Macaca mulatta: one gene and its partner. The protein of the gene in region 1 interacts with the protein of each later gene in a biochemical or structural test. Links are inferred from orthologs where the notes say so. Each region holds a gene or a part of one and is shown on either strand. Other genes may lie near its edges.

Region 1 (3,515 bases):
GGAGTCCTTAATCAGTGACTAACAGCAAGTTCTCAGTATGTTTTATTGGACGGAAGGAAGGATGGATGGATGGATGGATGGATGGATGGATGGATGGATGGATGGATGGGACAATGGGCAAATGGACGATATGGTGGGAAGTCAGATGGATGGGTGGATGGAAAAGAGGAAGGATAGGAAGATAGATGGATAAATGTGCAGGACAGGTGGTCAGATGGATGGACAGATGAGAAGAATGGATAAATGTACAGGAAGACAAGCAAATGGATGGATGGATGGATGGAAAGAAGAAAGGGTAAGAAAATGGAGAGATAAATGGATAGAAGAGAAAGTGGTCAGATGGGTGGATGGATGGGTAGTTGGGAGGATGGATGGATAAATGGACAGAGGGACATGGTCAGGTGGTTGGTTGAATGTTTGTTTTCCTTGTCTAATTGTCAACCTCAGGGCCAACTAGTGAAGGCCACTGGGCCCAGGCAGGGACCTGACTTGGCTTATTCTGTGCCCAGGTAGATATGTTCTCCTATGGAATGGTGCTCTACGAGTTGCTGTCAGGACAGCGACCTGCACTGGGCCACCACCAGCTCCAGATTGCCAAGAAACTGTCCAAGGGCATCCGCCCAGTTCTGGGGCAGCCGGAGGAAGTGCAGTTCCATCGATTGCAGGCACTCATGATGGAGTGCTGGGACACTAAGCCAGAGAAGGTACTTGGGAGCACAAAGCCCAGGGCCCTGGGACCTCCTGCCATGTGGCAGAAGCTGTGGGTCCCCAGAGTATGTGTGTGTGGCTGCCCACCCGTCACAATTGGCGACCCTTCTCTGCTCATTTCTTCTAGAGGGTGATATTTGCTGCTTCTAACATATCTACTTTCATTTTCTTTGTGTGTGCATGTCACTCTTAGGAAACAAACTTCCTTTTCCTCCCCAACTTTTGTGTTACTTCACCATGCAAACAAAGTATATCAGCCCCTTTATAACAATACAGTCCCTGTGCAAGAACAGAGAGAATGTGGGTATCTCTTTCTAAAGTAACGGGGAAAAGGTTTGGTTGTGAGAATCAGAGATCATATTATAGTGTTAAGGCTAGTTTTTTGTTGGTGGTGTTTTTGTGTTTTTGGAAGAGGCTAGTAGTTTCAAGGTTAAAACTCATTTATTAAATCAAACGAGCTAGTTTAATGTATTGAGAGTAAACAGGATATTCTTTAGAAGAATGCATGTCTTTATCTGGGCATGGTGACATGGACTTATAGTCCCAGCCACTGGGGAGGCTGAGGCAGGAGGATCACTTGAGCCCAGGAGTTCAAGGCTGTGGTGCACTATGATTGCACCTGTGAGTAGGTTCTGCACTCCAGCTTGGGCAATATAGTGAGATGAAGAGTGTATGTCCTTGGCCTGGGTTGGAATACCTGGGGTTCAGCTAACCTGACCAGATGAGTTTAAATTGCCATAGCCAAGGGTGACCCAGATATCTGGATGGGTTTGCTCCTGACATCTGAAGCTGTTTTAGCCTCTTGTTTGGATCCAATCTGAACGAACAGAATCCCTCATTTCTCCCTGGTTGAAGCTGGCTGACCTCATGGGCAGAATTGGCACCAATCTGGTTGTAAGTGACCTTGCTCCCTTCTGGTGGCTCCTCTCCCTCAGCGACCGCTGGCCCTGTCGGTTGTGAGCCAGATGAAGGACCCGACCTTTGCCATCTTCATGTATGAGCTGCACTGTGGAAAGCAGACAGCTTTCTTCTCGTCCCAGGGCCAGGAGTACACCGTGGTGTTTTGGGACGGAAAAGAGGAGTCCAGGTAAGCTCCTATGGCCTGCCCTGCCCTCTTTGAATTTGGGGTGGGAGGCCACTGTGGAATTTGGGAACAGAGTCCATGTTGACCACAATGAGAATTATTTAGCAGACAGTAGGGTCCAGAACCTGGTTAGACTGCACTCAAGAAAGAGCAGGGAGAGCAGAAGAAAGTCCACACAAACAGACGTGCATGTATGGTTTTGTGGTTAAGAGACAACAGAAATGAGTAGTATCTGCCAGGGTGTCTGGGGACATGAGGGCACTGTGGCATGTGCCTACAGTCCTAGCCACTCAAGAGGCTGAGGCAGGAGAATCCCCTGAGCCCAGGAGTTCAAGTTTAGCCTGAATGACATAGCAAGACCCCATCTTTTAAAAAATTAGAAAATTTAAAAACATTTTTTAAAAGGAAATGAGACCTGTCAGCCTGGTTATGTGACTTTCTCAAGAATGTTCTGCTGCCCCAGATTGCAGAAGGGGCAACAGGGTGGGTTTAAACAAAGTTGGGGTTTTGCCAGGAGGGAGAGAGGGGCAGGGGCGGGGTGTTTTCAAGGGAGTGATACAGAGATGGACCAAGGCACCTACGTGAGGCCATAAATTCAGGGAGCACAACGGAAAGTACCAAAGGATCCTAGGTATTGCTAGAGTTAAAAAAAAATTTTTTTTAAACCTCAAGAGTTATGGTATTAGGTGGGGTGAGCTGAAAAAGTAGGAGGTGGCCGTCAGAAAAGACATGCTTGCCATGGGGTGGGTGGGAGGCACCCAGTCAGTAGTAAAGACAGCATCTGGAGTATGACCTTTGCAGAGGGTGCCTGGGGTAGAGTGGGGGAATATCACTGAGCTTGAGACATAATAAGATAAATGGAACAGACTTTGCAGTTTCTCTTAGGTCAGTCTTCGTGAGTTTGCATCAGATTTTATGCCATTAGGACTGAGTGTTGTGACACAGATGCACTCTAAGAAATGATGGTGTAAAAAAGTTTTTCTGACCAGGCCTTGTGGCTCATGCCTGTAACCCCAGCACTTTAGGAGGCCGAGGCAGGTGGATCATTTGAGTTCAGGAGTTTGAGACTGGTCTAGGAAACATGGTGAAACCTTGTCTCTACAAAAATAAATAAATAAATAAAAACATAACAAAACTTAGCTGGGAATGGTGGCGAGCACTTGTAGTCCCAGCTACTCAGGAGGCTGAAGCAGAAGGATTGCTTGAACCCAGGAGTCTGACAAGCAGAAGGATTGCTTGAACCCAGTGGGTGGTGACTGTGCCACTGCACTCCAGCCTGGGTGACAGAGTGAGACCCTGCCTCAGAAAAAAGAGAAGTTATTCTAAAACACAGCAATGGAGCATGCCTTCCTGATGGGATGTACTCTAAGGACAAAACAAAAAGCAAACATATTAATTAAACAGGTTTCAGTAATTATATTGTTGGTAGTACTGTTGTGATTGTTATTCTAAGATGCTGCTTGTGGTTGTGGAGTAAGTTAATGAGTAATTATATTGCTGTTGCTGGAAACCGTGATTTTCAGCATGGGCTAAAAGAGAAAGAGTTGTAAAGTAGGGTAAGTAAAAGCTTGCAGTTCTGAATTGATTGGATGGACTCGTGATATAGTTGAAAAAAAAATAAACACAAATTTCTCAGCTCTGCTCACTGAAAAGGCCTAAAAACAAGGACCAACCAAATGCCAGTGTGCATCCCTAGGACCTAGACTGTGCTCTCTAAGTACCA
Region 2 (3,515 bases), on another chromosome or scaffold:
GTAATGAGGACAACACATCCCCTGTATGAGCGCTTCCTGTGTGCTGGCCTGGGGCTGAGGCACATGCCCAGGTGACTGACGTCATCTTCAGAGCAGCCCGGTGAGGGAGGGGGTGCTCTTCCTATATTTTGTTTTTTTGTTTGTTTGTTTTTGTTTTGAGACGGAGTCTCGCTCTGTTGCCCAGGCTGGAGTGCAGTGGCACGATCTCGACTCACTGCAAATTCCATCTCCCAGGTTCAGCCATTCTCCTGCCTCAGCCTCCCAAGTAGCTGGGACGACAGACGTGCACTACCACCCCCGGCTAATTTTTTGTATTTTTAGTAGAGATGAGATTTCACTGTGTTAGGCAGGATGGTCTTTATCTCCTGACCTTGTGATCCTCCCACCTCGGCCTCCCAAAGTGCTGGGATTACAGGCGTGAGCCACTGCGCCCAGCCCACTCTTCCTATATTTTGAATGAAGCTTAGAAAATGATTGAATTACTAGGAATTTGAACCTAGGCCCCTTGACTCCAAAGCCTTCAGTCTTTGTTTTGTGTGTGTGGTTTTTTTTTTTTTGAAATGGAGTCTCTCTGTCGCCCAGACTGGAGTGCAGTGGTGCGATCTCAGCTCACTGCAACCTCTGCCTCCTGGGTTCAAGCAATTCTCCTGCCTCAGCCTCCTGAGTAGCTGGGACTACAGGTGCCCACCACCACGCCCGGCTAATTTTTGTATTTTTAGTAGAGATGGGGTTTCACCATGTTGACCAGGCTGGTCTTGAACTCCTGATCTCGGTTGTCTGCTCACCTAGGCCTCCCAAAGTGCTGGGATTACAGGCGCGAGCCATCGCGCCCAGCCCCAAAGCTCCCAGTCTTAACCCCACACTTTGAAAATTGAAAATTACAGATAGGAGGTCTTACGATATGGATTGCCCTGAGGAGGTGCACAGCAGAAGGCATGGTCAGGATGCCACGGCAGGGGGTTCATTCGTGGGGTCATGCCCTCTACCCTGTGTCTCTTGCAGCGGTCCCAGTCTCCAGCTGCCTCCGACTGCTCATCCTCATCCTCTTCGGCTAGCCTGCCTTCCTCCGGCAGGAGCAGCCTGGGCAGTCACCAGCTCCCACGGGGGTACATCTCCATTCCGGTGATACACGAGCAGAACGTTACCCGGCCAGCAGCCCAGCCCTCCTTCCACCAAGCCCAGAAGACGCACTACCCAGCGCAGCAGGGGGAGTACCAGACCCACCAGCCTGTATACCACAAGATCCAAGGGGATGACTGGGAGCCCCGGCCCCTGCGGGCAGCTTCCCCATTCAGGTCACCTGTCCAGAGTGCATCGAGCCGGGAGGGCTCACCAGCCAGGAGCAGCACGCCACTCCACTCCCCCTCGCCCATCCGTGTGCACACCGTGGTCGACAGGCCTCAGGTACGGGAAGTTAGTCGTCAGCAGACTGGTTATGGTGGTATGTCTCCAGGGCTACAGGAGCTCTGTGGGGTGCCCTGGGTTCCCCCTTTATCCCTGCCTATTTAACATGTGTGTACCTGGAGGGAAGTGAGATTTGAGAAACTGCTAGGTATTAACAGAAATTCAGGACAATTGCTCAGGCCCTCCGCACTCTGCAGCTTATGCTGGGCTGATCATTGTGCATTGCGGCTGACTTAGGGCAGAAGAAACAGCTTGGAAGAACTTACATAGCTGGGACCAGGTTCCTTAGTGCCCACCACACCCTTTCAGGGCTCTTCACACCCCCATCCACACTGCAGCCACAGCCTCATCTTGGGCGTAGGCAGCGCGTCACCTTCCGCTCAGTTACCCACTCCACTCTGCAGGCCCATTCTGCTCATTCCCACCCCTGTGCCTTTGCCCATGCTGAACCCGCTCCCTGAAATGCCTGCACAGTACAGGTTCTCTCCGTCCTCCGAGGGATGAGCCAGTTTTGTCTCCTCCATGAAGCCTACTCATCCTTCTCATCTCATGACTCCTCATATGAGTCCCTTAATGAGAGACTCCCAACTTGTATGAGTTCAACATGTGATTATTCTGGGTATTTCAGAAGTGTTCATTTTATCTCTTTAGCTTAGGGCTGAGCCTGACCACAGGGCCCATGTCTTAACGCCCCTCCTCCCTGTGTAATCAGGTACCATGTGGTCTGGCTGAGGCATCCGCCAGCTATGGTGGATTGGAAGCCGTGCTGGCCTGGGGAAGGTTGTAGGCAGGGGTCTGGTTATCTTCCAGTGGAGACACGAGGTGCAGGTTCCTGGAAGAGGATGTCATTTAGTGTGAGCAGCTTGCAGCCTAGCAGCAGAACAGTCAGCAGCCCTGGGCCCCCTGTGGCTGCAACTCCAGCAGCTGAATGCTACAGTTTTTAAAGAGGAAAACTCCTTGTGAACAAACATGGGTTATTCTTTTATTACAAATGGTCACACTGGCCAGGGCGCTGGAATAGAGCACCCTCCTCTTAAAAATTTTTTTTATTTGGAAATAATTTCAACCTGATAGAAGAGTTGTGTGAATCATACAGAGTCCCACATACACTTCATCCAGTTCACTGTTTGTCAACATGTCTGCATTCGTCTTGTCATTTCTTCTCTCTCTCGTATTAGTGATGTGTTTTAACTGTTTGAAAATTATTTGTAGATGTAATGTCCCTTTTCCCCTGAATAGCAAATATTTTCCTAAGAGGAAGACATTCTCATTCATAACCGTGGCAGACTTACAAGATTCAGGAAATTTAACATTCTTACAACATTATTATCCAGTGCACAGCCCATTTTCTAATCTTTTTTATAGCAGTTTGTCCCCACTTCCAGGATGTCTTCCAGGATTGAAACAAGGATCATGAGCACTGCATTTAGACGCAACTTCTCTTTAGTCTTCCCTCAGTCTGGGACAGTTCCTCGGCCTTTCTTGACTTTCACAGCCTTGATGTTTTTGAAAAGCACAGGCCGTGGAACACCCTCTCTAAAGTGTTTCTAAAGTCACTTCTTACACAGCCGTCTTGTTGTCAGAACCTGGGAGGGGTGCGTGGTTGGGTTGTGAGTGGTAAGGGCCAAAGCTGAGGATGTCTGGATTGGCGAAAGAGATTTGATGGAAAAGGAGGTTGCTGGGGTGTAGACAGCTACGTCTCACACCAGATCCATACTCGGATTCAGCAATCCTAGGAGGGGCCCATTTGTAGAGAGAGGGATATTTTATCCAAATCATTCCCATGTATTTCTCATAATCAGTGAAACACTATCTCATCCTGTTTTTACCCCCATTAACCATGTTTGTGGTAACTTCCCTTTTAGAGCTGATGCAAAGTTCCCTTTCGGGAGGCTTTCCAGGATTTCACCTCACTGAACATTATAGTGGAATTGAGTGTTGTAAACTGGGAATAGTTTAGAAATAATATAGTCTAGTTATTTCCCAGTTGATGAAATTAGGGTGAGATTTTAAAAAAGGTTTTAGATATTCACTTACATGAATAAGAGCCAAGATAAGGCCAAGCGCAGTGGCTCACACCTGTAATCCTAGCACTTTGGGAGGCCAAGGTG

The links.
Region 2: the proteins of LRRK1 (region 1) and BAG3 form a complex in vitro, tested with the Homo sapiens proteins (2 studies listed by BioGRID and IntAct, with this or other methods). The link is inferred for Macaca mulatta from reciprocal best matches to the Homo sapiens genes LRRK1 and BAG3.

Annotation. Positions count from the first base shown.
Region 1 is NC_133412.1:91,426,298-91,429,812, forward strand, and holds part of LRRK1 (leucine-rich repeat serine/threonine-protein kinase 1), read left to right. Parts: intron 1-509; coding exon 510-704; intron 705-1,643; coding exon 1,644-1,795; intron 1,796-3,515.
Region 2 is NC_133414.1:131,769,940-131,773,454, forward strand, and holds part of BAG3 (BAG family molecular chaperone regulator 3), read left to right. Parts: intron 1-1,002; coding exon 1,003-1,404; intron 1,405-3,515. UniProt on the Homo sapiens protein: Co-chaperone and adapter protein that connects different classes of molecular chaperones including heat shock proteins 70 (HSP70s), e.g. HSPA1A/HSP70 or HSPA8/HSC70, and small heat shock proteins (sHSPs), e.g. HSPB8.